2 linked regions of the Oryzias latipes genome follow. The protein of the gene in region 1 purifies or fractionates together with the protein of each later gene. This does not show direct contact. Links are inferred from orthologs where the notes say so. Each region holds a gene or a part of one and is shown on either strand. Other genes may lie near its edges.

Region 1 (15,448 bases):
ACCCGTCTGAGTCCAACTTAAGAAACCTGAGACAAATTTGCTGTCTGGCTATGGTTCAAGCCTCTTTCTGCTGTGAGGTCACACCAGTCGGGCCATGCTGACAGCGCCATGGGGGCTTGCCGCTCGCCGCCTCTGGCTCCTCTCATAAGCTCTAAACTCATTAAACTCATGTACACCGATACAGTACTGAGCAAAATTCACATGAGAGCCATCACGGCTCACCGCTCCTCCAGGGACCGGCTCACCTCTGCAGGGGGGGTCCAGGGACGCCACCAGAGAGCTTCTACTTTAGACCCAGATGGACACTGGCAGTCTGTGGGCGGAGCCTCACACAAAGATGCTTCTTTGACTGAAAATGATAACTTGATGAAAAGATTTTGAGCTGCTGTCGGTTCACCAGAGAAGGTTATTTAACGCATCTGTCATCAGGCAGTAAGGTGTTTTCTGTGTTTCTGTTGGGTCCTCTCTGCCTGGCTCGGCGTGTTTTTGTGGTCGTCAAAGCCTCAGCAACGATGCTTCCCTTCATTTATTTGTGCAGGAGTCCAGGCACAACCTCACCGTCAATCTGACCACACTTCGAGTGTGGTGCTACTCCTGCAGCAAGGAGGTTTTCCTGGAGCGTAAGCTGGGCCCTCACTCTCCTCATGTGAGCTTCAAACCACTCCCCCCACCGCAGAACGTTCAGGTAACCCCCCCCCCCCCCGTCTCCTGATCAAAGTTCTGTTGGATCCCATTCACAAAACATCCTGTTTATCTTTGCTGATGAGTTGACGTTGGTGACGAATTCTGTGTGCTGGTCTTCAAGGACGCCATGAGGGACTCGGGGAGCCCAACTCCTCTGAGGGTTCCTTCCAGTGGGGGCTGTGAAGATCTGGACATGGACACCGAGGAAGAGGATGACATGCGAGTCAGAGGTGAACTTCAGCAGGCCCCAGCATTACTGACACAGACATTTCTTTTTTTGTTCTGTTTGCAGCATTGCAGATAAATTACAAAACAACACCCAGGAAGCAGTTTATTGCAGCTCAGATGTCGTAATGTGCTGTCAGTTGTTCCCACAGATGTCTAGTAGGACTGGCCTGACCAAGCAGACCGATAATACATTTAAAGTCCCACTCTGCTCATCTCATGATCTATTATCAAAGTGTTCCCGGTGATCTGTTCAGGATGATTACGTTCATTTTAGGCAAAAGCATGACATTAGAATTAGAATTTTACCTCTGAGTTGTGGGTGGGTCCATTGGAGTGGAGCAACCCCGCCCCCCTTTCCCTCTTTTATAGTGTTGCGAAGTGGAGCAGGAAGCCTATTCCCTTCACAAATACTCTCTTTTTCTAACGGCATTTGTGCATCTGCTCCAGATTCACAACAGTTTGATTAAATAAATATCCACAAATTACATTTTAATCTTAAATGTCTTTTTCTAAAACATTGTCACTGGAGTGGGTCTTTAAAGTCAGTGCAGTAGCGGCATTCTGGGAGTGACCCAAGTGAAAGGGCAGGTCACACAGCAGGGCAGAAGTCTGGGGAGATTCTGCCTTTGAATGAAGCAGCAGTTCTTTCTTTGGCTAAGGCTCTACTAAAGCACACAGTCTGCAGAGGAGCTGGGTTGGTGAAACAGCAGCTCATGTGTTGCCTCACCCTTCCTTCAGATTTGCACAAACGCCTTTATCATTGCATCTCTCCGAGGGAGCATTCCATTAGCTCGTAAAAATACTTTTCTTCCGTTTGCTTCTTATCTTCGGCTGTGTCCTCTGTACCCTCTGCAGCCGTGATTAGATTAGACTTTAGATTTTTAGCTTTATCGTTGTCACTAAGTGGTGTGGTGCTCTTCAGTGGATTTATCAGGGCCACTAATGTAAACCGTATTTTCACTTCATGCTGTGAAAAGCTGACAGACTCCACAGATTAGTGGTAGAGCGAAAATGCACAGGGCGGACGATCAGGAGCGCTGCGTCATGGCAAACCTCGCCCGCTTTAGCTGCAGCTAACGCTCTCCTTCCAACCAGTCACATGACGTTAAGATGGGAGATTTTCAACACGTGAAAGATTCAGAGGTTTCAACAGGATACTTTGATTGGTCAGAGATGTATTTGGGTTTTCTTTAGAACCCAGTGACCACAGAAACACAGTCCTAATCATGGCAGACGATGTACAAATTATTTTTGGGGAATTCTCTCTATGCTTCTTTTGTGAAACATGTCATTGTGTATAACCTGTGTGTTAACTCGAGTACTTTAACCACTTTTCAAAAGATAACCTCTTTCCATGTGTTTTTAGCGAAATCCAAACTAGGTCATGCTAACATGGAGACCCTTTAAATATTAAAAAGCCTGTTTGAACTCTGGCTGTGTTGTTTTTTTTTGTCTCCATCAGGCCTGTCGGGGTTGAAGAATATCGGCAACACCTGCTACATGAACGCCGCCCTGCAGGCCCTGTCCAACTGGTGAGCTTTTCCACTCGTCTGCAACCTCTCGGATTCCTTCTTTTTCCCCCGGCGGTACTCCATCCCGTTACTTTGATCCCACCGATCTCACTTTTAACACTTTCCTTTTTTTCTCTGAATCCATTTGCGGTTCTATTCACCGGCTGCCTCTTGCAGGCTGTGAGAAATGACTATCGCTGTGCTCATTTGGGAGAGTGATGGCTGAGAGCGGATTGGTGCACTGCACCATTTGAGACGCCAGAAGTGGACTTTTGTAGTTCCCTGTAGGCTCTACAGTTACAAATCAATGTCAAATCTTTGTCCGTCTCTTTCACGGCGTCTCCTTTTTCCTCCTCCTCTTTCCAGCATCACCTCTTTTTTTTTCCCCTTTCCACCTAATTGGTCATTACTGCAGTAATATTGGCAGTTTAATTCATTTAAAGCCTCTGTATTGTCCTCTATGAAATGTATCACTTCATAAAATAGCTTACTTCTTTCTGTTTAAATTGAACTTTAGCTCTGAGCCCAATCCCTCCATGTTTTAACAGAACTGTGGACACTGCATTCGGTTTAAATGAAACCAGGAAAAAAAAAAGATGTGGGTCAAAATTAGCAATCTAGATTTCCTCCTGGCACGGTGCAGCTGCAGGAGGAGGGACGCTCAGGCTCAGCCAAACCCTCCTTTGATGTCTGTTTGCGGGAACGCTGCAGCCCTCTTACTTTTGCACCGACCTGCAGTTTCAAGGCCTTCCCTCTTGCCAGGGACCGGAGAACCCTCCATGCCTCATTTACTCTGTAATTAATATCTATCTGCTTAATTCCTGTGGATTCTGCCTGCATCAGGAAATGTATTCTGAGCTGGTTTTCTCGTCACTTCAGTGTCTTTCTGCTCTGGTTTGTGTTACTAATAAAAGAAAAAAATCAAATGAAATACACAAACCCAACTTCTTTGTCCATCTTTTATTCATTTTTTCATAAAAATCTAATTTAATATAAAAGAACGGACTTGTCTTTGAGTAACTCTGCCATAGATGTTGTCTAATTTGATTATTTTGTATATTCTGACTGGATATTTTATTTTTTATTTGTGCCTCCTCCCTCATTGCAGTCCGCCCTTGACGCAGTTTTTTCTTGAATGTGGTGGCCTGGTGAAAACAGACAAGAAGCCGGCTCTCTGCAAAAGCTACCAGAAGCTGGTGTCCGACCTGTGGCACAAGAACAGGTACCAATACCAGCCCCTTTATTTCCCTTTGCATGCACATTTTTCAGTTTCGGGGTCCTTCTTATGACTCTCTGAGTCATCTGTGCTGTAGTTTCCCCACCGCTCTTATTCAAGACCGGCTCCGTTTCTTTCACTCCTCAGACCTTCCTATGTTGTTCCAACCACCCTGTTCCAGGGGATCAAAGCCATCAACCCCATGTTTAGAGGCTACTCTCAGCAGGTAGGTCATCCTGGCTGATGAAATGCATTTGCAATATCAGTGTTTTCATTTTCCACAAAACCTTTGGTTACAGTGTACGCAGTTCAGGACATTTTCTGCAGTGTGCTGTGCATCCTAACCTCAAACCACAGTAATCTTCTGTTATGGATGTTTTTGTCTTTCTGATCACGTGCTAAACTGGGGGTTATTTTAAGACCATCCTCATTTCCTAAAATTCTACGCTGTCCCTCATTTTTCCTTGTTTCTAATCACACACTTCTCTTGAATGAAACCCCATTAGTTCTGGCTTAAGTTGCTCAGCAAACAGTGCCTTTAATTCTTAATTTAAAAACCCTTTCATGCCTGTTGAACACCATCCACAAAAAGCTTAAAAGTTCATTTTACTGTTGGAGTTTTTCCGAAACGTTAGACTCGTTGTACCCGGATGGATTCTGGGAAAAGGTTTTGTTTGGCGGAAAAGTGCCCCCATCCTTGTGTTTGTCTGAAGGGGTTAGCTGAGGAATATTCATTTGTTCTGCCACGCTGGGCTGCACAGCCTCAATGCCGTGAAGGAAGTTAACGTTTCAGCTCTTGGGAGACCAGGCTTAATTTGGCTTGAAGGAGGAGATTGGATTTCTGAGGTTCGTTAAGTTTGATTACACATTCATTAGCACGTGGTTTTAGATTTGGCCATGACGAGCTGAGATGAACCAAAATGTAAAGTGATTGTCCTTTTTGATTTGAAAAGAGAGGATTTGTGGAAAACACTTTATTCGGTTTGTCAACGCTGGCATTAAGTTGTATTTAAATGGACATTTTCCTTGCTTCAAATTGAACAGGGTCCAGAATATGCCTGCACAAAAAAAATCGCAAATTTATCGTTATCGCGACAACCAGCTGTGCAATACGCATATCGCAAAAGTCTGCAAAAATTGCAAGTATTTAACGTATGAAATAATTCCCTTTATGCATTTGACCAATCGGGTGGAGCCCTTTGATGTTAGATGACTATGTAGACGAGGGTCATTTGGAGCATAATTTAAGTTATGTTTACTTTTATTTAAGTGAAACTGTTGCAGTGAAATGGAAATAATGTATTTAGTTGTTTTGCTATTTGTTTACGTATCCCAAGTTATATCGTAAATCGCAAGTTGCCCTCATATCGTGCAGCCTTATTCCAGATCCAATTTTTCTAAGTTCTCTCCAAGAAATCAAGATAAACTGTAGTTTCTTTTTTTATTTTCAAACTGGACCTTTAGGACTCGCAGGAGTTTTTGCGTTGCTTGATGGACCAGCTGCACGAGGAACTGAAGGAGCCGATGCCAGAACCAAATGACCTGTCCAACGGCATCGCCATGGGGGACAGCATGGAGGAGGACAACCACACCCAATCAGACAATGACTTTCAGTCATGTGAATCCTGCGGCAGCAGCGACAGAGCCGACAACGAAGTGCAGGGTGGAAATGAGCTCATGGGCGACACCAATGAGGCAGAGATGCTGATTCCTGAGCAAGAGGAGGTCCAGGCCAACAGGGAGTGGCAGAAGGAGAAGAACATGATTAACGACCTCTACCGCTCCGGGGTCAATGTCATCATGAGTGGAAGCACTGGGGTGGACATCGACAGAGATGTTGACACCACGTCTGAGACCAAACCCATTATCAGCAGCCAAGGAGCTATTAAGGTCCAAAGCAGATCATCAGGTGAGGATGAGGCGGAACAATTCAGGAGTCGACCTGCTGTTTTGGTTTATCTTTGTGTGACCTTCTCCAGATCTCCCAGAGTCTCCATCGCACATTATCAAACCGCTCATTAGCTCTTTGTCGAAATCTGCAGAAGCCTGATAATGACCCAGCCTTTTTTAGCCATGTGCGAAAAGAGAGAAACTTGGAAAACAAAAGGCAGGAGCAGAAATGCTGAGCTGAAAAAAGGCAAACTAAAATGGGAGTAAAGAAGAGAAGAAGATCTGAGGATGTGATCTGCACTGCTGAGCTCTCATAAAGAAGCTAATGTGCTGAAATCTGATCCCTTATATGCCTATTAATTCAATTAAAAATTGTACTCTGCTTTAAATATATATTAAAGAGTTCTACTTCATAAAGCATGTGCAGTGAACTTCATGAATGACGACATTCATGATAAAGTCAAGTAAAATCATTGAAAGGATTATTTTTAATTTGTGAACAATCATGTTTAGCATTGAGGTTATGTATGGTTGTTAGGCTGCCTCCGTAGTGCAGACAAACCACAGTCATCCCACAGACATCCTCACAACAGTGCAGTATGTTCACCGATAACCTGACATTCCTGAGCGGCTTCTGGAGCTTTAGATCTCCAAAAGAAAATGAATTAAAACCCGCCTCTCCTCTCGCCAGAATGTTTTCCAGATATCCAGATGTCCAACTCAACAAGACCACAAAGTCCAGTCTCGATGGAGGGACACATTCCCAAACTGTCCAGCAGCCCGCCCAAAGCTGCCTGTGGCTGGCCGAGCCTGAACCCTTCTCACAAGAAAGGTACAAATCCCAGTGTGTTTATGTGTGTGTGTGTGTGTGTGTGTGGCAGAGGCTCAGAGGTGAACCTGAACCCTGCAATCAGTCAAATCTGCATTAAATGCTGGAAACTTAAGGACGGGTAAATGTAACCTCGTGTTCTGTCTTTTTGTCGACTTGCGTGCTAATCTATACATGTTCTCACATTTCTGCCTCTGTCCTCGTCCAGCTGTCACCACATTCTCCCCAACGAAGAGCAAGCGGCAGAAGAAGTACAGAAGTATCATTTCAGACGTCTTCGATGGGACCATCGTGAGCTCGGTTCAGTGCCTCACCTGTGATCGGGTTAGTGTTGTTACATCTCTACAGTCCTGCTGAACTCAAGTCTCAGTCCTGTTTAATGGGAAAGGGTCCGACAGTAGGGTTCTGTAGTTGTTTTCAAAGACTGCTCAATCATACTTGTGAGGTTTTGCTCCAATTGAAAGACTAACCTGTAGGTAAAACATTGCCGTGTGGAAACATCTTAAAGGTGAGGATTCCTAACGCCTTGCTGGCTGTGCGGTTTGTGTTTGTCAGGTGTCTGTGACCCTGGAGAATTTCCAGGATATCTCATTGCCCATTCCGGGAAAGGAAGATCTGGCCAAGCTGCACTCATCCACCCACCAGACCTCGCTGGTAAAAGCTGGCTCCTGTGGGGAGGCGTATGCAGCTCAGGGGTGGATAGCATTTGTCATGGAGTACATCAAAAGGTACGCATGTATGATAGAGGAACACAACCCTGTTCCATCTACAGCATGTCGTTGCTGCTGTTGGGGTAAATAACTCCTCTGTGCTTTTTCTCCAGCTGGTTCTGGGGTCCAGTGGTTACACTACAAGACTGTCTGGCTGCATTCTTTGCCAGAGACGAATTAAAAGGTAATGAAGTGCTGGAACAAATGTCGGTTTTGTCCAACTCAAATCTCTGGATTGATTTATCAATAACTGCATCTTTTTGTTTTCCAGGAGACAATATGTACAGCTGCGAAAAATGCAAAAAGTTAGTAAATGCAAAGCTTCATATTTACACCTCGCTGAACAAGAATTTGCTTCTAATGAAAAACAGCAAAGGATGGATTGAAGTGATTTTTCTCTTCGTTTTCTCCTCTTCAGGTTACGAAACGGAGTCAAATTCTGTAAAATGCAAAAGTTGCCAGAGGTGCGAATCATTTTGGATGTTGAAGCAGTTTTTTTATGGCCCGCAGTTTTTTTAAATCTACGTTGTTTTTTTTTGCTCTGCTGCAGATCCTGTGTATTCATCTGAAGCGGTTCAGACATGAGCTGATGTTCTCCACCAAGATAAGCACCCATGTGTCCTTCCCACTTGAGGGGCTGGACCTGCAGCCCTTTCTGTCCAAAGACAGCTCCGCCCAGACCACCAACTATGACCTGCTGTCCGTCATCTGTCACCACGGCACTGCCAGCAGTGAGTGGGCGCCGTCACTCCCCTTTCTTGGCGGAGAGCGGGGCATTTGCCATCCGTTGGCACAAATGCGCCCTGATGACATTCTTTTACAGGGATGGGTTTGCGGACGCTGCTCTTACTCTTCTCCCTGTCTGATCCCAGGTGGCCACTACATAGCGTACTGCAGGAATGACTCCAACAATCTGTGGTACGAGTTTGACGACCAAAGCGTGACCGAGGTGTCTGAGTCCTGTGTCCAGAACGCTGAAGCCTATGTGCTCTTCTATAAGTAAGCTGACCCCCCAGAATGAATAATTCAGGCTCTCGGTTATGTCTGAGACATTGAAATTCCCCGAGCTTCTTACAGCGGATTAATATATGAACTGTTTCTGTGACAGAAAGAGCAACGGGGACACCGTGAAGGAACGTGGGAGGGTGTCAAACTTATTCAACATGATGGAGCCCAGCCTTCTGCAGTTTTACATCTCTCGCCAGTGGCTGAACAAGTTCAAGACCTTTGCTGAGCCAGGGCCCATTTCCAATGATGACTTCTTGTGTGTGCATGGAGGTGTGTCGGAACTTTCCTTCCAATTGTCTTCTTTGCATTTTGGCAAAATGCAGCCACTGCTTTCATCCTGCTGAGGATTTTTGGTTTTTGACAAATCTTCTGTAACGTTCTCATAGCTTTAGCAGAGGTTCCTTTTTAACACTTGTGACTTATATTTACATTTGACATCTGGTTAGAAACTGCCCGAGTCCACTGTGCAACTTCTTTCACAAAGGTTACAGACAGAACTGAAGGCAAAGAGCAGCCCTGTGACTCCACGGGAACTAGACTTTCTTAATGTTCTCACTCTGGCTTTCCAGGGACCATATGGCCCATGGCAAAAGCTTAATGCCAAAGCACCTCTTAGTTTACAATCCCAGTAAGTGAAGTGAGCCTCCTCCAAGTTTACCCAACACACTTCATCCAGTCACCTCACTCAGTGAAATAACAAGTGTTATTTTTTAAATGATATTAGTGACAAACGACTAGTTCAACTTTTGATGTGAGACGCCATTCTTCCCACTGTTCTCGTGATCAGCAGGTTTGCTAAATCTCTCTCTCTTTTGTCTGATGCCTCGGCAAACCTCTCCACCACATTCAGGCGGAGATTCTTTATGCAGCTAATGCCTTTTTGGTCCAGACCAGGGACAGACGCCACAAAGGGTTTCAAACAGGGAGCTCTGTTTCCGGATAAAAAGGAAAAGAGTCACAGAACTGAAAATGACTGAGCTCTGATGAAAAACGGGAACAGAGAACGGTTCTGCTGAGGCTTTGCTGTAGGACAAAGGATGCTCAGTGCAGTCATACATATAGATTCAAACATAAATATGAATGGTAGCATATGGTTGTGTAGAGGGAAACTAAATGTGTTATTACATTTGCATGTCTCACTTGAAGGGTATTTACTAGGAGGGCACAGTTCTTGGTTTAAAACCAAACCCTGTGTTTGAACCGAATCATGGGGAAGGTTGCATCCCTACATCACTCTGTTTACGTTTAAAATGAGTGTTCTGCTAAATTCTATATATTTTAAGGGCCTGTGTTGTGCTATTCTTGAGCCTTTCTGAGTAAACTATTTCCATATATCTGATGGTATATTACCTTTGGCACACTAAAGAACAATTTTTTAAAAATACAAGTTACTTTTGCAGCTCATTTTCCTACACGGAAGAAAGACGACTCGATCTTTGAGGCTCCGCCTTGCGCTCTTTGTGGGTACCGCCTATTTCATGACGTCAACCTAGAGCCGGCCTTGGCAGCATGTCTGTGTTTCGCACATGAAAACAAACAACATCCAAAATATTTGAAAAGATGCATCTTCATTGAGTGCATATATGATAAGAGCTTGTAGCCAATCACCGCTAGTTCCACTGAGAAAGTGGGCGTGTGTGTTAGCCTGGGGGCGGGGCTGGCAGCGCAGACTCTTCCTGGAAGGGGCGGTTCCTCACTTTGGGATGTCACAATGGAAGAGCCCATTCGTATTTGTGGATTGGGAGGGGCTGCTGCTCAGAGAGCAGATTTTTAGAAGAATACACACAAATGAGTGAATGGATCAAAATACCACTTTGGGGCTGTTTTTGAGAAGAATACACATAACGTTACACTTAAAAGCTCAAAAAAGTTGATTTTACATAATATAGGCCTTTAATATTGTTTTTTTCATTAAACCGGGCTTGGCATGAGCCAACTGAATGGTATTGCATCTTTAATTACTTATTAGCAAAATCATTTTTTGTATTTTATTTTATAGTTGTTTTGTAAAACACTAATCATATATTGAGCCAGATTAAAACTGTGACCCAAACATAGAGGTTTAAACTGAATTTTGGGGAATTGTTGCATTCCTCGTCTAGTCGTCTTTACTAAATGTGTTGTGGAGGAAAGTGAAACGGTTCCTAATGATTGTCGACAGTCGTCATAATTATATCCTGACGTAACAGTTCACCTCTTCGGATCAGATGTCTCTGCTTTGAGTCAGCGTGTCCCGTTTTCAACAGCGTCTCCTTGTTTTTAGGTGTTCCCCCCAACAAGGCGTCGTTCATTGATGACCTGGTAGTGATGCTGCCACAGAACGTGTGGGATCACCTTTACAGCAGGTACGTGCTCAGATGTGTTCAGGTCCAGCAGTTGTAGTGTCATTTAGTCTGTGGGGGTAATTTACGCTGTGTGTGTGTGTTTGTGTCGCTGCATGCAGGTACGGAGGAGGACCTGCTGTCAACCACCTGTACGTTTGCCACACATGCCAGATTGATCTAGAAAAACTAGAAAAGCGCCGGAAGTCCGAGCTGGACCTGTTTGTCCGCGTGAGTATTCCTCCCCTGGTCTTTGAACGTCTGTACTCGCCACTGAGACACGAACCAAAACTGGTGTGAGTTTAAATGCATTGTGTTCCAGCTGGAGCTCATATAAAGCCTGTCCTCCAGTCAGCTCCAGGGGCTGATGGGCTGGATTTGTTGATGTTCTTCAGCTGACAGCAGATGAGATGAGAGGAGTGAAAGAGATGAAAGCCTTATCAAGAATGCACTGAGGCAGATGCAGCAGTTAGTAGCTGCTCAGTGTGCACGCTTACACAGTGGGACAGATGAATGTGTTGTGTATCTGTGAAAGAAAAAGCTTCAATGAGCCCTTGTGCTGTCTTGAGGGGTCCAGATGACCCCACCCTTACATTGACATGCATCCAAGGCACGTAAACGTTGGGAGTGGGGTCCAGATGACCCCACTCCCAACGTTTACGTGCCTCAGATAGCACAAGGGTAAGCTAATGCACAGAAACAGGAAGAGAGACTGTATCAGTGGCATACTGGCTGTCCTCTAATTGAAATGACTTGATTTGCTTTTTCACGTCGTTCGTCTCTTCGTCCCTTCATCCTCACCTAATTTTGTTTTGCCTCCCGTCTTCTTTCTCTGCCCCTCGTCCCTTTACGCCTTTATTCCCTCCTCGTGTCTGCCGCTCACTCCTCCCCCACTTCCTCTCTCCCCTCCTCCCTTTTGCTCCCTCTTCCAGCTGAATAAGGCGTTCCAGGAGGAGGAGTCTCCGGTGGTCATATACTGCATCAGCATGCAGTGGTTCCGCGAGTGGGAGGGCTTTGTCAAGGGAAAAGACAATGGTAATTAAAGCCTTCCCTCCCCCCTGTCATGTTTAAAGTTGCCCCCCAGAAATGGGATGTACGGTGATGAACATTAGACCACTAAAAGAAACGGATGATGTGTTCATGCCATAATGTGGAAAACCTGCTTTTTAAAATAGAATGTGAATGGATTTTTGGGTTAAAAGAAACTGTAAAGACCCCTCTTTGTCTTCAAAAACCCTGCGACTGTCTCATTTGTCTCTTCTGCTACAGCTTTGTTTCCTTTCAATTGTCAGTTCAATTTATGCATCTTGAAACAAATGTTCAGACATTGCTCCTCTGCAGTTTGTTTCTCATCTTTCTTGTAAAAGAGAAGCATGAAGTGTTTTCCAGCAGGACAGGAATTCTGTGGGCTAATTCCCATTTCTAAACAATTTCCCAATGAGTACATGAGACCTGCTGCATACATGTCTGGACAGCTAACACGTGTTTTTCTTTCAGACATACCAGGACCCATCGATAATTCCAAGATAACGGCAAATAAGAATGGACATCTGACGCTCAGACAAGGTAAAAGGACTTTGGTCTAAGGCTTTTAAGCGACCGTGCTTCTCTCTGCCCTCCAAACACAGGATAAGCATGGTGTTAAAGCTGCTCGTATTTTGACTAGTAGGTGTTGCTTCTGCAGGTGCAGACTCTGGACAGATCTCCGAAGAGACTTGGAACTTCCTCCACTCCATCTACGGAGGAGGCCCACTGGTGACATTTCGACCGAACGTCAATCACCAGGAAACGGAGCCGTCGCAGTCGGAGGAGAAGATTGAGCTGGAGACGCGCTCTATTTAACCAAACACTTCACAATAAACAATGAAAAAATCGTTTTAGAATAAAAGTAAGCCTTTTTTTTCTTTTGCACTGGACATTTATTCAAGCAAAGGACCCTATTTGTACCGCTAACCGACAGTCTGAAGGCATGCTGAGGTCTGCTATGCTGTAATAATCTGTATAAAGAGCTCTTGAACTTCTCTTGGCACTGTTGATTTCATGTGATTGTTTTTTCACTGCGATTCATGTAATTTATGAGCAGCTAAAAGTTCCTCAGAATGCCATTTTTTTTCTTGATTTAATGAGCACAAATTGTATGTCCGTAGGTATTGCTGTTGTTAAATACACTCTGTAAATAGATCACATTTTCTTTCCTGTTGTACAAAAAGTATTGTCCCCTGAACGGCATTAATTGCAAAATGTGAGACTGTGTGTGATGACTATGTAAAAGGTTATGAAGGGACTAATTTCTGACTAGTCTCAGGAAAGACTTTTGTTTTGCACTGTTCTGTAGACGTACTCATGATTTGTATGTGAATGTATCAGTACTCCTAGGATGTTGGCTCAGTTCAGCACTTGCTTATTCATCACTAAGAAGGTTGCTTTATTATGTATTTTTGTATTTGAAGGCCCACTGCAGTTAAAGCATGCTTAACACTCAAAATGTGCATGCTTCACTTCTGGACAGCTATGGAAATGCCATTGTAGCACCCAATCATCATCCATTCATTATTAATTAAAGGCATTATTTTTTTGCTATGGGCATAGTGTTGCTTCATCCACTGAATGCTGCTCTCCAAGTTTTTGCTAATAAAGTGAGGTCTCCCTTTATTTCTGCTGGCGGACACTATTAAAACTTGAATCGATGCTGAGCACTGCCCTCGTTGGCGTGATACTTCTTGGACTGTTTGCGGGATAAACGCCGACAAACGAGGGGCGCGCTACGTTCGGAGAGCGCGCGCTCACCCGCCGCGGAAAGGGAATTCGGGGGATTTCTGTCGACGGCTCGGACTCTGCGGGAGCAGAGAACTGACGGGATGGCGTCGCACGATCGGGAGAGCGGCTGAGTCGCTTCACACACACCCCGACTAGTTGACTGGATTGAAAACATGGCTGCGGCCGAACGTGCAGCGAATTTACGGAAGTGAGGTATGGCTGATTCTTAAGCTTCAAAAAGCTGTTTAGAACTAGACTTCCAGCCGGGTCCTTTTTAGTTGAAGAAATTCCCAAACTTTGATGTCTTCTTACACTAAAAGTGTGTGTGGTCGTAATTGTGGGCTTCACAGTTGCACATCGGCAAAGTTATGCGCGGAACAATCAGCTAGCTTGGCTAGCTAATGCTGGGCTGTTGCAGCTAGCCGCTGGGGCTAACTGAGTAACTACTGCCGCTGGACCGCTAACCATGCTACTGCAGCGGGATGTTTATCATCGGCCAAACCCGGTTGGTAGAAATTTTTTCCAGCCATTTGTGTTTTTCGTGAAGCTAGGATTTATACCAGTTGTGGGTGCTAGCTAGCATGTGACTGCTGCCACTGGTGGAGGCAACTCGACCGTCAACTAATCAAATCAACACGATTCAGTTAGAAGAAAACTAGCCAGTGTGATGTTAGCCAACTTGACTAGTCGATCAGAACAGAAAAATAACCAAGCAGGTTGAAGTCTGTGTTGTAGTTGAATGGAATTTATGAGGTAGCCTGATTTTTTTTTTGTTTTTGTTTTGTGTTGAACGCAACAGTATGTTATCTCGACTCATTCTGAGCGTTAATGTTTGATGTGTGTGAGCGCTAACGGTAAGTTGGGCTGCTAGCTCACCGAGCGGCATGCTAGGTTAACTGAGGTTTGCGTGGAAGTTGGAGCATGCTAGGTTTCCATCGCTGGTTACACGGACTGGTTCTGCGCTCCGGGGCCGGTCTCTCCTCCGTGGAGAGTTCACCTGCTTCAACAATTAAGAGTGGACCGGCTGCACGTGCGACGGCAACGCTGTCAAGTTTCACGAGTTTCTCCTCATCCTCGTTCCCCTCAACTTTCGTTTGGCGGCATCACATCATCTCATTATTAGCGCGACTGCTTTTTAAATTTAAGTCATTTTGTGTGGTTTATTATCTCAGCAGCAGTTGGGAGGGGATTTTCAGGCCCATGGAAACTCGCTCTGTAATCAAACGGAGCGCAGTAAAACCTCATGCTGTCTGTAAACGTAGCTCTTTTGTGGCTGGAACACTTTAAATTCATCTGTGTTGTTGTGTGTCGCTCACAGACCACATTTATGATTAAAAACACCTATAAGGTGTGAGTGGGCTCCTTAATACCCGGCGTTGTCCCAGATAATGCAGATCAACACGTGTTTCTATGACTTGAATCTGAATCCAAACAAGCTCATTGCAGAGGAACAAGACAACAGTTGCACGTGCGTCACCTCTAGGTATTGACCAAATTAACTTTGGCCCTTTAGTATTTGTGGTTAACATGTCCCCCATCATCTAACATTCTTGCTTAAATCAATGCTCACGTATCTGTTATTTAACAACAACAGAGTTGACTCTTGGGGATATTTAAACTCGACCCACGTGTTTAACTCTAGAACGTGACAGTTGCATAATGTCCTGGGTTTTGTCCTTGGGTTCTTTTTTTATTGTCTATAATTGCAATACTTTTCAGATTTTTAATGGCCAATACATCTATCATTTTTATGAGGAAGTTAAGGTTTCAGTTGCTGTTTGTAAAAGGTTTCTGGTTTTAATGTTTTTAAATTGTATGTGTGGGAGGATATATTGTTTTGTCATGTCACAACACACCGCAGCTCTCCAGAACCTTGTCATGTAACGATTGTTCTTCCAGAAATGGTTCTCCAGCACCTTCTTAACAACCACATGGACTACATGCTGCTCGGTGCTTCATTTTATAGCATTGCTGGCAGGTTTTACAGCCCTTTGAGCTCGAGTCTGTCTTCGGTATTCCAATGAAGAGTAATTTGCATTTTTAGACTAAAAATTCTATAGTTACAAAGACATTTTCAGAATCGCTTATTCTTGAACGGCATTTTATGTATTGTCTGGAGGTCCTTTCAGATAAGATGAAGTGACTTACAGAATATTCTGATGAGTTTCAAGGATGAGTGCTCCATCTGGAAAAACATGCCCTGCTCTCCATCGCCATGTCTCTATTTTTTTTTTGTTATGTGTGGGTAAATAACTGGTTTTCTCCTCTGGAATCTATAGCAGAGTGTGACAGTG
Region 2 (15,448 bases), on another chromosome or scaffold:
TTTTTGAAGCAGTGTGTTATCTTAAGACCTCAATTTGGTGCTTTGGTGTCACTCTTTGCTATTTAACCCTTGTGCTATCCTAGGCACTTTAACATTGGGAGTTGGGTCATCTAGACCCACTAAACAGTGCGCTGAACCTTTTTTCTTCAATGATTTGTGATCTTCACTGGTGTCCATGGATTACATGAAATCTTTCCACCTTTATCCACCTTTGTCATGGTAGGGAGAATACGTCAATGTAAGGGTGGGATCATCTAAGGCAGCAAGAGGGTTACAAAAAAATGTATATATATGGATAGAGGACTGTTAGCTGGAACATAAAAAAATCATATTAATAAATCATGTTCCTTCTCCTTTTTTCCACAGTGCCATCGTTTACCTTCACGCCAACAGGTAAGCAGCTAGTTGTGTGGTTTTTCATTTTCTCACTCCAGCAGCAGCCACTTCATTTAATTGGTCTTCCAATGCTCTCCCACACAGACCTCTTAGTATCTAAATCTGAATAGATTCAATAAAGATTAACCGACTGAAGTCAGCGATGGACACTTGTTGCTGCCAGTAAAGGAGGACAATCATGTGTGCAGTTACTTGGAAATAAATGCTTCGCAAGTGTTTCCGTCACGTCAGAACTCAGTGTTCTGTGATTAAAAGGCCACGCTACCAAGAGACTAATAAAACAAGTAGGAACTTGATCAAAGACTTGCTGGCAACTTCAAATGGGATTATAGAGAAAGACGCTCCACCAACAATCCTAATTAGATAGGGGCAGAGCTAAGAGGGTTATCTGTGAACCGGAGACACACTAGAATAGAGGAAAAAAGTTTTATTTATGTTTTAAGTTTGAGTTAGTCTTTTTTTCTCTTTTTCTTTCCATTCTGGATGAATAGATTCTCACTTAAAACTGTTACAGCTCAGCGAGTGTCAATGAAGATGCTCTTTTCTTTGAGCTTGACGCACATAAACTGAGTAATTTTTGCATATGCAGACTTGTTTTATGATCTGCTGGAAATTTTTCTTGTCACGTACTGTTTTTATTAGTTTTGTTTGTTACCTTGGGAAGATCTTCCCCACCATCATTTGAAAAATGGATTTGGCCTTGCATGATGTCGATTTTAAACTAGAGGTGGATTGATACAACCCCTGGGTACTTCAAGATCCACGCCGACCATCTTTTGATCTATTTTTAAAGTGTTCCCAATGGTCATTTAAATATGTTTATGCTGTTTCTAGGCGAAAGCAAATAAAAACTAGTGTAGATTTCTAAGACAATTTCTGTAGAAATTTGCCTCTGAGTGGTGGGCGGGGGACCGTTGTCGCAGAGCCTGCCAACAGTTTCCATCATCTATCTGTTGAGACTCCCCCGTTACCTTACAACCTCACAACCTCAACTTAACATTGCCAGTGCAAAAAAAATGGCGAGCAGTATTGGTTTGTTTGCTTCTTATTCAAAACGATTTGGATAAAGAAATACTCAAAAATGCAATTTTAAGCTTAATTTTTTTTATATATGTCCTCCATAATCACAAAAATGCATGCTAAAAACACCAAAAACACAATTTTTATTGGACTGAGTCTTTAAACACAGAAACCAGACTACACTTCCTGTTTTGAGGAATGGACAGGGAAGAAACATGCCTAATTTCCTTCCCCCACCTGGTCTTCTTATAGGGTAAAGATTGTAATTAAAGTAGGAAGTTTATCTCGCCTTCACACACCAGCAGCTTAAAGCTCCTTGAAAGAGTTAAACTTGCAGCGTGCAGAGCTTCAAACACCAAGTACCCGAGCCAGAAGACCAAAGAGCTCTACATCTTTGTTCTTCGTAAGCCTCTTATGTATCCTCCTGTTTCTCCTTCTCCTGTTGCTTATGTGTGTGTGTGACTCAGCTGAAATTATGCCACATAAATGTTTTTGCATGTTTACCTGAACAGACTGGAAAACTGCATTGTGTCAGTTGTCATGTCGGCCTATATTAGGTCAAAGGATTCATGTGCTTTTGACCGAAAATGGGACAGATTTTGAAATTTCATTGCTGCCTATTTGTTTCAGTGGCGTATCAGAGAGGCGGAGAGGGTGTCACCAGTGCTGGAAGGTGAGAGCCTCTTTTGTTTTGTTTTTTAAATAGAGCGTTTTCCTAAAAGTATTTGAATCCTTACTATTTATAACATTTTTTTAAAGAATATTCATCATAATAAGCTTTGTTTAAAAAAAAAAAAAAGTTTACCATCCTTTAAGGCATGAACAGGGTTGGGCTTGTGTGTTTTCCTTAAGCAAACACTAGGGGGAGAGCTGTGCCTTTCGAAAGCAGCACAGAGCAGAGAGAAAGTAAGGTGCTCACATGAAATAACACTACAGGAACAAAGACCCATGCAGTTTGTCAGGAGCCCATCCTCATCCCACACGTTGGGGGATCCACATTCAACCACCAGGCTGTGCCATAGCATCATCATCAAACATTAATGGAGCTGTATCCACTTAGCAGTTAAAACGCACCTCTTGGTACACTGGAATGGTGCTTTGTGCATAAACAGTAAGACTGCATAATTCGACTTGCCGAAACTAATTTGTAGATTTACTAGCTGGCCTTGGTATGTTATTATTTGTAGGTAAACAAAAGAATTGTCTATTTTTTTTTTCTTGCCTATGGTATAGAATGTGCTTAAAGCTGCACTGTGAGTGTGTTTGAGTGTTCTGCACATGCTAATGAATAGTTTAGCTTGAAGCCATCAACAGTAAATCCATATTCATTATATTACCCCGTTGTGGATTGAGTTCGGTGTGCAGCAACGGCTGTGTCAGCGCTGCGCAAAAACAATGGAGGTTCGATATCAACATACAAGTGGCGGGGTGATTGAGGAGATATTGTGCGACTGTATTTGGCTGTAAAAGACAAATGCCTTCATTACCCCAAATGAATCCAAGAAATGAGTCATTTAGGATGGAATGAGGAAATGCAATTCAGTGCTGGGATATGCAGACCGGGAGTCATTTTGTGCAAATTTGAATACCAAAACAATATATGGCCATGTAAGAGAATATTGGCTTCTGTTTTTATGCCTCATTTATTCAGTTCGATCAGCAAAAACAGGCCGTTTTGTTCTCCTTTTCCACCCGCTGTTTGATGTAAGGTCAGGTTGTGTCATGGAATCCCTATAAATAAATAATCTGCTTTGTTATTAACTGTATTCTGCTGAAGCTTAAAGAAATAAAATATGTGATGATGTGAAACTGTTCAGATGGGTTTACACAAGTTATCCTTTGCTGTTTTCCATCTTTAAAGACCTTTTGAAACTAATAATGGTTGATGCTCTGGAATTTACTCTGGGAACACAGGAGTGAATTTTATTTGTCTGTCTAATCCAGACAGATTGCTAATACTCACGATGTCTCAGAAAAAGTGTCAAAGGCTGTGGGGGCAGATTGAGCACACACACTGTCTATTTAACTGGGTTTTATTTCTCCCTTTCCCAGCATCTGGCCAAAAGGAAAAAAGTACTAAACCAGGATTTTCGGTTTTCCTCTCCACAGCGGGATAAATAAACTCCTAATCCTCCCCTTTGAAACTCTTTATTCCTACTGGTGTTTTACTCCATTGACATGGATCTTGTTGTGTTGTAAGCTTACTTTCTTCCTTTCTGTTAACCATTTGGGACTGATGTTTTTACAGACCCGGTTTGCTAAACATTGGGGAATCTGCCACTCAGCCCTGGCTGGCTGACACATGGCCCAACTCCTGCTCCAACCACAATGACTGCAGCATCAACTGCTGCACTGCAGGCAACGGAAACAGCGACAGCAACTTGGCGACGTACAGCCGACCAGGTATGTGCAGGAGGTGTCATCTCTGTCATACAGGGATCGACCAAAATAAGCACTTCTCTCAAAGGCTGTGTTGCAGTCCTTGACAAAATAACTGCAGAGATAAGGAAGGTGGGAGCCAGGGGAGTCTGCAGTATAAAAGACAGTACAATCTGATTTCTAGGTTAGCTCCCCAGAGAGTTGTTGTATGTGTCTCTCCTTTCTATAGGTCTCCTGAAGAAGAACCTGGAGACTTATTAGGATTAGGAGCAACTCTGTGCTCACGTGTTTGATTTATCTGAGGTTAAAGCAGAGCTGTTTTAGGCAGGAAATAACCGGAGTACACTGAGCAGGGCTTATAGCTCTACTCTGTTGCTAATCAAATTGCTTTGCTGATTTCCATACAGTTGTTATAGCCAGTAATGTAATTTCCCCTAAGTGCTCAGTTGTTTAAGAATTGTGCAGCGGGCGAAGAGGTCAAGGCTGGTCTGTAGACGACGGCCAGAAGCAGGGCAAAGAGAAAAGGATGGAAGAAGAAGGATGTAACTGGAGGAGCAGATAAAAATGGAGAGAAAAGAGTGAAGGATAAGTACATGCTTAAGCAGATACTAAGATTCGTGGACAGAAGTAGGGAATGTGAATGAGATTAGGTTGAATAGATTTGGCGGCACACTTGAGCTCATTTAAAAAGAGGCTGATGTGGCCTAAAATTTGGACATGCTGCAGCTATACATTAGTCTAAATATAGAGACTTCTTTCCTGAAATTCAGCCTGGAAAACCAACAACAACCTTCACCATGGAAAGTTGGACTGCCAAGAAATGCTTTATGTTCTAAATTGTGCACGGTGGGGCCCTGCTTTTGATGGCGGCACATAATTCCTGTCCAGCTGTTCAGCCTAATATCCAACCAACCACTCAGTAGTTTCTCCTGGCTTCAAACCTCTGCCAGTGAGGATTAATAATTCATTCTGCAGGTTTTCTAGTCAAGTTTAGTTTTTCTTGGTGCTAATCACCCCTCTGAGGTTGAACACGATGAGATGTTTAACAGGCAATAACAGGCTAAAGGCAGTCTTCACTTCTTGCATGACACTTCCCTGTATAACGCTAAGGAGCTTGCCGGTCGCATGCTTTGTGTGTGTGCCAAAACTAAACTCTATGAACATTAAGAGGATCACTGACTAGGTGACAGAGCAAAGAAATAGGAGTTAATGTCCCTTTATCTCAGCCATAGGGGTGCTTTCACACATCGGCCTTTGAAGTGTTGAGCTGAAATGTGAGGCGCCTGGCACGAGCGGCTTGTACCTATGGCCGTCTTTGGTATTTACCACGAGGTTGGCTCTCAGATCTGCTGGAGGATTTGAATATTTTATGAGCCAAGGAAAACTGGATCTGTCAGCGAAGTCTTGCTTTTACTGCATGTCTCATTCCATGTCTTTGATACAGACATGTCTCTCTGTCCCTTTCAATGAGGATGCTTATACCATCAAAAAAAAAAAAAAAACGAGATGACACCCGCTCTGAGTCATCAGTTAGGCAGAGAATAGACCGGGAAAGGTGTAACGCCACCTTAATACACTTTGAATTGTAGGGTCAGATAAATATTTGGCAAACAGTGCAAAGTCTTAAATTATAGACAGACAAGCTTCTCTGTTAAGATGTGATCTAAAAAAAAAAAATGTTTTTATTTCAATCTTCTACCTGACTGGTTTGCTCCCGCAAAGCTGATGTGCTGCAGAAAAGACTGACTGAATCCCCTCCTCATGTTCTCCAGCGGACTGTATCGCCAATTATAACAGCCAGATGGAAAACAAGCAGACCAACCTCTTGGTACCAGACACAGGAGTTTATGGAGATGTGGACCTGTCCAATAAGATCAATGAGATGAAGACCTTCAACAGCCCAAACCTCAAAGATGGACGCTTTGTAGGTCCTGGCGGTCAGCCGACACCTTATGCCACCACCCAGCTCATCCAGTCCTCCATCCTGGGCAACAACATGAATCCAGACAGAGGGACCGGAGGGAGTGGAGGTGGACTTGGGGGAGGAGGGGAAATGAATGAGAAACACTGCTGGAAACCTGTCTCAATACAGCAGCAGAAACAGGAAATGGGCTCCCAGCTGCAGTACAGCATTATGGAGCAAAACCGACTAAACAAGGGTGAGTGTGAGGAAAACCCAGCAGCGGTTGCACAGGTTAACTCTCAGCCATTATCTTCCTCCTCTTCAATTTTCCCTCCTGTTCTGTCCTCTCTTGGCTCTTTCGGCCTCACCGTGGAAGAGTTCATGCTCATTGGTTCTATGTCAACCTTTTCAGTCACATCTAGGCATTTTTGTGTCTCCCTGCTTGTCTGTAACCATGTAACCATTCATCACTTTCTATGCTACCTATGGTCATTAAATATAGACCAGGCTGTCATCCTGTGGTATGTGGCATTGTGATGAAGGCAGGTGTGAGGGGAGACCTGTGGCATCAGATTTCTATAGAAAAAGGCAACAATGACTGATTCTACCATAACCTATACGTGCATGTGTAGTAGAACATGTGGCTTCAAAGTTTTTGTGCAGATGCTGCATGTTTCAGTTTCACGCACTTACCTAAAATGACAATTTGCATGTGCAGTTACTTAATTAATAGTCTCATAATCCAAACACGATTTAAGGCTCAACTCCTCAAGATTTATGCCTGCTGTGACAACGCGCTACACTGTCCCACCAACAGATCGCTATAGAGGAGGTGACAGTCCCATGCCAGCCACCATCCCCTACAACCAGACCCATGAAAGCCACACTGGGGGGTCCTACAACAGCTCTGACAGAGGCAGCAGCAGCACGTCAGGTACAAGGCTGTTTTAAAGTCCAAACATAGAAAAAAATCCATATAAAATTGGATTTTTGTTTGATTGGTTATGTTTTTGGCTCCTTTTGAAGTGCAAAATGTTTTCATCTTCCTGCTGTAATGGAAATATAATCACATTCTCTGATTTTAAAATTCTTGTTTATCTCTAAAAGGCAATAAATCATTGTTGAAACACTAATAAGATTTGGTTTAGGTCTTAATCTGATTGACTTCCAAGTCAAACAGAAAACAAGTTGCTCAGTTCTCGTATTTTTTCCTTTCAATGTGCCTTGTTGTTCTAGGCTAAACAAAATAAATTAGATACAAGTATCTGTTTTCTATCATTTCTGCTCCTCTTTTGTTGTTTTGCTTTGTATTTACATCACTTTTGTTGTGTGTTCATTAATTCAGTTAAATGGTTTTACTTGAAATCAGTGTGGATCTGCATAATTTCATCAGGACTTCAGTGTCTGTCGGTGGACAAGGACAAATGACTACACATCCTGGGCGGCATGCAACGCTGCCACCTTAATGCCACGTATCCATTCTGATATTGCACTTGAAATTCAAGCCATTAAGATGAGGCCTTTAGTTCTCGCTGCACATCACAGCTCATTGGTTTACAGTTTTAGTGGGCTAGCTTTAATTAAACGCTTTTTTCCACAGTTTTCATTCTGCAGTATTTTCCACCATTTAATATTTGCAAAGGTGTGAACGCTGACATAAAATAAGCATTTTGCCACTGTTGTTCATTTTATCCACTGTAAGCTTCTTTTATGTGTTTTTTTTTTCTTGCATCAATAATTGATTTGTTTATTTACTTTATTATTTGCATCTGAAGTAATCCTGGGATTAAGCTTTCCTTTTTTTTCCCCATTTGTTGAGCAGGTAGTCAGGGTCATAAGAAAGGAGTGCGCACCCCCAAACTACCCAAACAAAGCACAATGAATTGGGCTGACCTTCTGCCTCCCCCTCCTGCAAACCCACCCCCGAGTCGGAGCACAGAGGAGTACTCTCTGTCGATGGATGAAAGGTAGACAAAGGCAGTCTGAGCACACAATGCATTTGAATACTGGTCCAGTTTCATCAATTCTTTGGTATCCATTCCAAGTATTTGCTCCAGGTGTTGTCTGTGCTGGGTCCATGTCAAACCTTGATCGAAGGATGAATATTTATTGCATGCTTTTCTGGCTTCAAGGAATAAAGGCCTTTCCCAGCATGTTACGATGCTAACGAAGCTTGTTTGTGTCTGCTGGCAGCTGTGATCCGGACATGCAGTGCCCCATGCCCCCATCTCACATGTACCTGCAGCCCGATGAGCTGGAGGAAGAGGAGGAGATGGAAAGAGGGCCCACTCCTCCAATCCGTGGGGCGGCCTCTTCCCCAGCTGCAGTGTCCTACAGTCACCAGTCCACTGCCACTCTTACCCCTTCACCCCAGGAAGAGATGCAACCAATGCTCCAGGATGCTCAGGACAGCCACGAACGCCGGTACACCTGTAGTATTTCATCTCATAACAAGTCTGTAATGACAAACCATCACATATTCTTATTTTGAGTCTTACAGAAAAGCACACGTGTGTTAATTTTGAATTACAGTTTTATCTTCCTGGGAGTCATTTGCTATATTAGAGTCAGTACAAGGTGGCAGCTGAAATAAGTCTACAGTAAATGTCTAAATGCCCTTAAAGACCCACTCCAATATGGCATTTTTTCTCAAGATGATAAAGAAAATTAAACGTCTTTCAAATTGTTGTGAATCAGGAGCAGAAGAAAAAAAGCAGTTTGAAAAAGCTTGTAGTAGTGACTTAGAAGGTACATTCGGTTGGTCACAAGCTCCCTGCTCTGCTCCAGTCTGATGCATTCACTTGTAGACGACTAGATCCATGTGCGTCTTGTTTTCCTCCGGCATCTGGCTTAAAACTGTACTGTACGTCTGGATAACTCCAATATTGTTTGCCATTTTTGTTGCACCAGTAATGTTATGTTAGGGTTGTGAGGGGCTGTAGTGGGAGAGGGTGTAAACAGATAGATGGAAAATGAGGGAGGGTTTACAGGGCACCTACAGTTCCGCCTACAACTAAGAGGCAAATTTCCAATGAAATACTTCCGCTCTGCAGAAACTACGTTCTAGAAAACAACACAGGACTTGCTAAAATTTACATAATCATAATTAAAAGACCACTGGAAACACTTTTAAAACCAATCAGAAGATGATTGGAGTGGGACTTTAAAATCATTTATGTCAGAGATGAGACCATATAGAAGCCTGGAACTGTGTGTCGTGTTGGGTATTTGACCGTAGCATTAAATCCTAAAAGTCAATCATGTACTAACGTTGAGAGAAAGAAGTACCTGACAAACCCATTTAGATCAGTTTAAGCAGCTATGATCTGGGTCCTTTTGACCGAGCACTGATCAGTTTATTTGTTTATACATGTTTTTTATTAAAATTGATTTGAAATATTATACTTCTCTTGATAAAATGCACTTCTTTTAGGCGCCATGTTGTGAGCCCCCCACCACCTCCAAGACCACTCTCCCCCTCACACACGTACGGGTTCATCAGCAGCCCGTTGGGGTTGGACACTGATGGAATGGAGGAGGAGGGTATAATGGAAGAAGACGAAGAGGATGGTGATGAGACAGACGCTGAAGTAGCCAAGATGCACTTCCATCACACACACCCCCACCACCCTCAAATGCACGCACGAAGGTTGTTACTACGAGGGCTTGAACAGACACCAGCATCCAGCATGGGTGATCTGGAGAGCTCAGTGACCGGCTCCATGATCAACGGGTGGGGCTCGGCCTCTGAGGAGGACAATGTTTCGTCAGGGAGGTCCAGCGCTGTTAGCTCCTCAGACGGATCCTTCTTCACAGATGCCGATTTTGCTCAAGCGGTTGTTGCTGCTGCAGAGTATTCAGGCCTCAGGGTGGGAAAGCACCCAAATTCACAAGGCCAGGAAGCAGGAGGAGCTCCAGGTACCATCAGTTCATTAGCAGCCTTTAGTGGAAGAAATTTCTTGAACAGCATAAACAAACGACTGTCTTGTCTCTTTCCTCAGCGCCAAAATACCAAATAAGCCAGTCAAGTCACCGTCCCAGCAGCCCGGTGTCTACAGACAGTAATATGAGCATGGCTGCTATACAAAGGAGGCCTCCAAAAAAGCTAAAACAGCACTCTGCGGGTCACCTAGGGAACCAACGACGTGAGGCCTTCAGTGAAGGTACACATATGCTTTCATGTGTTATAAGCTCAGTTTGAGTTCATGTTTTATGTAGATTAAATTTGTGAGAAAAGATGAAAAATTCTATAAACTAAAATTGCAAATCCACAACTCTTGACTTTTGTGGGAGTTCTAGTCTAATCTTTAAGGGCTTTTTTTTTTCTTTTCTTTACAGGATGGCATAAAGACCCTTTCCAAAAGTGTATTTATTTCCATAATTACATAAAAAAAAGTACTTTAATAAAACATATATATATATATATATATATATATATATATATATATATATATATATATATATATATATATATATATATATCCAGGGATTACTTCTTTTAATTTGATTTCAAGTATTATTTTTACATAAATAAGAGTTTCAGCTCATAAAAGCCACAAAAATAGGATTTCAAAAATGTTTATTGTGGATAAATCACCATTTACCTTTTTTAAAGGCAGAAATTATGATTACATCAAAGTTATCAAAACAAAGTATTTTCAATATGACATGTCCATCTTCAGTACCTCAGTAGTATGGGCAGGGGCCAGGGTCTCGTATCCAGGTCCTCCTTCTCCTTGACCAGTATAGATGTTTCCCTGTTGGCCCAGGCTCAGATATTACCAGAGGAACCCGACAACTGTAGCCCATCTCCCGAATATGTCTGAAAGCGGTGGTTTTTGAAGCTGTCCCTCCACTCATTCCACTTTTTCCTTTTGATAATCGGTTGAAGTCCACCGTCGTTTCTTTTGTTGGTCCATCTTCTCCTCCTCGACCTGCTTGAACACAGCGCTTTGTGAACAGCCAGCCTCCTTAGCTATGAACTCTTGTGGCTTACCCAAACTATGTAGCGGATCAATGATGGTCTTCTGGTTAGTTGTCAAATCTGAAGTCTTCCCCATATTGAACCGAACTGAACCAATTTAATGACATCTGGGGAACTTGTGCAGGTGCTTTGAGTTCAGTAGATGGTTAGTTTGTGAATTTCATTTATCCTACAAAATTTGGGCAGATTTCTCCAAATTATTGTACTTTTTGAAATCTTTTTTTTTTTTTTTTTGTGGGTTTTATGAGCTGGAACCCCAATTTAAGTAATATTAAACTGGGGTTAGTAGTATATTCCACAAAAGTTTAGTTGAATGAATAACACTTTTCTATAATATTCCAATTTTTTGGAAAAGGGCTGTACATTTTTTTTCAAACAAGTTTTTTATCGGGCTATTAAATAAATAGATGCACAAGCAGCTGCATCCTGTTAACTCACATATAACCGGTTTGTGTCAGTGGCTCCTGTACAGAGATGTAAGGATAAAAATATGTTAACTGGGATATAGTGTTTGTAAATTTCCAGGTATAGGTGTGCAGCAAAGCAACCTCATGCATATGTGGCAGATTTTTTGATCTCTATTATTACTAAACAGACGAGCAAATTGTGGGCAGCAGGCCAGGGGTTATAGGGAAATCATGGAAGAGGAGCTTTGGAAGGAGAGTTCTGCTTAGTTTGGCAATGTTGGCACGTGAATGTTTCTTCACTTTGAACTTGAACTTAGATAAACTAGGATGAATACTTCAGCTCTTAGCACAATAAAAAACTTCAAAGTTCTAAAGTAACAGAGCAATTGATTTTTTGTAGTAACGATTTTGAAAAATAAAAAGGAAAGAACAGTACAATAAAAAAGGCCAAGTTGTAAATGGAAATGAATATTCTTCCCGTTTCTTGTCTTCTTTCTTAAATGTATCTGTGTGCGATTGTGCAGCATCTATCTATACGACATGCCGCCCTGGAGCTGGCTCTGCTCTTAGTGTCAGGTGTCCTTGAGTGTTGGATGCACTTGACAGGGAGATTTAATATCCAGCTCACTGGGAGCCAGACCAGCTATATCACTGCAGAATATCCTGCCACCAACCCCCCCCCCCCCCCCCCCCCCCACACACACACACACACACACATACACACACTCACACACCACCACCACGCCTCCTTACATCCTGGCTTCCTCCCCATCCTCTGCCCCTCCCTTTGGAGTGATCTCTCCATCCTACCCTCCTCTCACCTCGCGTTGTCTGCTGTCTTTGTTTGAGTTGGGAGGGGGGGCAGAGTGACAGCTCCTCAGTTCTGTCTATCAGTGCTCCTGCTGATTGTATTTGATCTGAATGGATTGTTTTTCATTTGGAGTTTATTGCCTCACTACCCCCCCCCCCCCCCCCCCAAACCTACCGCCCTGTTTGTCCTGCCTGTGGTCTGGAATAATGTCGTTTAGGTGAGAGGTGAGGAAAGGTGATCGAATGACATTTAGAACAAAGGCAGGGCCACAAAGGCTGTGTTCTGTGGATGCACGATTGACTTGCTCTTTTGGACGTCTTTCAATTCTTGCTTCGGCACCTTTACCAAAAATGTTCGCGCATCGAGAGTTAAAATGCAGAAAGCAGGAAAACAAATAAACAAGCAGGAGAGATAACCAATCTACCCCTACATGCCAACCTTCCTTCTTCCCTACTGCTTACCCCTCCTTGACCTAGTCATTTAATTTGTCTTTGCACAGTGGATGGTGAAATACCCCTGTTATATTCCCCCTATGATTCATACAGTGTTTGACTTGGATGCCTTCGTCTACCCACTCCTCTGAACGTAACCCTTTCCTGTCTCTTCTGATCTGTCTCAACCCTGTCTGCTTAATTAACCAGCAAGCCCTGAGATCCATCCTCCTTGGCAAACTCAGAGACACTTTTCAGACCTGAGTTCTGTCCTCGCCGATATTTCCTCGTAAATCTAATAGGCGCGCTGCTCCTCCTGTGTAGGGAGCTGTAGCTCACAAACTGTGGCATTGATCTGACTCTGACTGAGGCAGAAGTCAGGAGGCAAGACGGATAATAAAAAAAAAAAAAAAATCTACAGGCGCCTCTTTACTCTATGATATTGACCGCCCCCCTTTTGTATTCAGGGAGAGTGGGTGGAGGATAATCAGAAAGGTGCACTGAAGCTGTCCGTTTCTGCCAGCAAGAGCAAAGCAAAGACATCACCTGCCTCATCCGCCTTCTGCGGATAAGAAACAAACAAAAAAAACAGCTTTGATTCCCTCAGTCCAGTTCAGTTTTGCACACTCTTCTAACTCGATGCAGGCAAAGTCAAAAAGTTGCCAGTCCACATTCATCTTTAAATCATGCATGGTTTAAGGGTGTGCCAACAAAACTATCCTTCGGGTTGGAAGCTGATTAGAAGATGAGAAGCCATCGATCGAAGGCCGACAAGGCTTTTTGCTCACGTTCTGTTTAGATGCCTCTGTGATGTGTGAGAGGCCATGCGGCCCACTGCCTGCTCTCATGTGAATAATGGCTCAAGGACAAGTAGCATTGATTCATCGACAGGGGAAGTCGAGCAGGACAGAGAGCCAGCTGCTGAGCGCCACGCTCCTCCTCCTTCCTTCTTGTTTCTTGCTCAAATCTCGTAACCTTGACAATTTTGGGCCTCTCTCATGTGAAGGGTTTCGTTTTCAGTCTGCTTGGAGAAATGTTGAAAACTGTGTCTGTGAATAACATTGCAGATGTGAGACAACTGAGAAAAATGTAGTTCACACAAAACATTTAGATGGGTGAGGTTAACATTTCTTGCTTCCTGTTATCCACCAGATCTGCCACCCCCGCCCATTCCTCCTCCAGCAGTGCTCAAGTCCCCCACACATCCGTCCAAAGCAGCTCTGGAGGGCAGAGGAATCATATCCCCAAAAGCCGGTGATGTTCGTGACAAGCGAAGAGGACCTGGTGGCTACAGACCCCAAGAAAGCTTTGAGACCAGACCCAGCTCGTCTGAGCGCAAAGACGGCCAGGACAGACAAAAGTCTGCTCTGGGAGGGAAAGGCAGTAAAACTGAGAGTGGCTCAGGCATCAAATCACGGCAGCATCCAGGTACTACCGTTTCCCAATTAAAGCAGTCCTCTATAGTCATCTCCAGTGTTTTGACTCCTAAGTCTTACATTTTTGTCTCGCTCCCAAGGATCAGAAGACATCCTACCCTACAGCCGGCCCCAGTTCCCTGGCGTCAACAGTCCCAGAGATCCAAGTTCCTCCAGTTCTATGTCATCCAGGGGTTCTGGGGGCCGACGGAGAGAAGGAAGCCGAAGAAATCCTGCAGAAATGGGTCTTAACAGCTCTGGAGCCTTTCACCCAGGAGATGATGAACTAGAGGTGCAAGCTTATAATTAAAAAACCTTTAGACTTTTAGCATATGCTGTTCACACTGGAGTGTTGCTTCTCGAAACTATGCGCATGTACTTCAATTATCGAGCAGGCGTGGTGCACAATGTCGAAGCGGTGCAAATCTGATAAATCTTGCTTCAGGCTTTTTCTTTCACAGCTCTATAGTCCAGCATATGAAATACTTGGAGTCATAACATTCCGTCCAGGCGCAAACCGCAATTATTAATTTCTCCTCCATGATAAAATCTCAGACGATTGGCAGTTCCGCGAACTGGACACCGCCCATACGTCACTACTAATTATTGTTTTATTTTAAAATTGAATCCCTGGCCCCCTGATTGGTCAATCTTCAACTGGTTACACTTTCAATGCCGGGTCAGTGGCAAAGCGTTTTGTACGTAAAGCCTGATAACAGACTTAAAAGGTTGCGTAGCAACGCACAAACAAAAGAGTTTTTACCACGGCGGCCTTAAGGGCACTTACGCATGTTTACTTAGACTTTTCATTTGAATTACTCTCCTGTACGCGTGTTGCCAGTGTGAACATAGCATTTAACATTTAAATATGATTTTTTATTTAATCCAAAAAGGTTAACAAATAATATTTTGATGATAAAATAAACATTTTTTTTTTACTAAACCAATTACAGTTATGATGGTAATTTTTGTTTTATTTGTTTCACTATAAACATAAAAGAATAAAACATAGGACATACTGGATTATAGTAAATGTATTTATCATTATTGCAATTTCACAATGAATAATGATCTTGCAGTCGCTTAAGGAAATAAAATGAATAAACTCATACATATGATTGAGTGTAATCATGTTAGATTGACCACAGTTTAAACTGATATGGATCATAGTTCCAGAGCAATGTCACTGGAAGTCAATAGTGCTATGCAGCAATACTGACTCTGATGAACATGTGATGACAGGGGCTTTCTTCACAGGATCACAATCCAATTTATTCTCACTTATGCAGTTTCGTCTCTTTTTAAAAATCTCTCACCCATATTGATTTATATTCTGTTAGTTCATGTGAAGCTAACAACAGCATTTCTGTGTGTGTTTTTTTTTACCTCTAGATAGCGGAAAGCTGAAGAACAGAGAAGGAAACGAAGGAACTGTTTAGATTTTTCCAAGAATGGAGCACCATTGTTTCTCTTACAATTTTAAATATCTCAGTATTTCATCATCTTGTTGGCTGCCATCATAACTTCCATCAGTAATGTTTCTTTGCATTTGGACAACAGACCAATGTGTTTTGTATTTCTTTTCTAACTTATCATTGATATGTCCATGAGAAAAAAAAAAGTTAATAGCTTGACGCGTTCAAAACAAAAATACATACAATGGTATATTTATGTTTGAATTCCAATGCAATATGGAGAAAAG

Evidence for each region.
Region 2: the proteins of usp33 (region 1) and robo1 purify together in Homo sapiens (affinity purification with western blotting; 5 studies listed by BioGRID and IntAct, with this or other methods). This does not show direct contact. The link is inferred for Oryzias latipes from reciprocal best matches to the Homo sapiens genes USP33 and ROBO1.

What each region holds. Positions count from the first base shown.
Region 1 is NC_019875.2:4,216,252-4,231,699, reverse strand, and holds the end of usp33 (ubiquitin carboxyl-terminal hydrolase 33), read left to right. Parts: intron 1-538; coding exon 539-685; intron 686-805; coding exon 806-914; intron 915-2,374; coding exon 2,375-2,444; intron 2,445-3,531; coding exon 3,532-3,645; intron 3,646-3,786; coding exon 3,787-3,865; intron 3,866-5,103; coding exon 5,104-5,548; intron 5,549-6,220; coding exon 6,221-6,361; intron 6,362-6,566; coding exon 6,567-6,682; intron 6,683-6,913; coding exon 6,914-7,086; intron 7,087-7,181; coding exon 7,182-7,252; intron 7,253-7,339; coding exon 7,340-7,373; intron 7,374-7,486; coding exon 7,487-7,532; intron 7,533-7,618; coding exon 7,619-7,799; intron 7,800-7,940; coding exon 7,941-8,067; intron 8,068-8,176; coding exon 8,177-8,346; intron 8,347-10,339; coding exon 10,340-10,421; intron 10,422-10,519; coding exon 10,520-10,628; intron 10,629-11,329; coding exon 11,330-11,432; intron 11,433-11,894; coding exon 11,895-11,963; intron 11,964-12,081; coding exon 12,082-12,239; and 2 more. UniProt on the Homo sapiens protein: Deubiquitinating enzyme involved in various processes such as centrosome duplication, cellular migration and beta-2 adrenergic receptor/ADRB2 recycling.
Region 2 is NC_019871.2:9,338,383-9,353,830, reverse strand, and holds part of robo1 (roundabout homolog 1), read left to right. Parts: intron 1-366; coding exon 367-393; intron 394-2,046; coding exon 2,047-2,089; intron 2,090-3,664; coding exon 3,665-3,819; intron 3,820-5,567; coding exon 5,568-5,954; intron 5,955-6,515; coding exon 6,516-6,632; intron 6,633-7,520; coding exon 7,521-7,665; intron 7,666-7,891; coding exon 7,892-8,122; intron 8,123-9,131; coding exon 9,132-9,616; intron 9,617-9,699; coding exon 9,700-9,861; intron 9,862-13,483; coding exon 13,484-13,759; intron 13,760-13,847; coding exon 13,848-14,038; intron 14,039-15,138; coding exon 15,139-15,153; 3' UTR 15,154-15,448. UniProt on the Homo sapiens protein: Receptor for SLIT1 and SLIT2 that mediates cellular responses to molecular guidance cues in cellular migration, including axonal navigation at the ventral midline of the neural tube and projection of axons to different regions during neuronal development.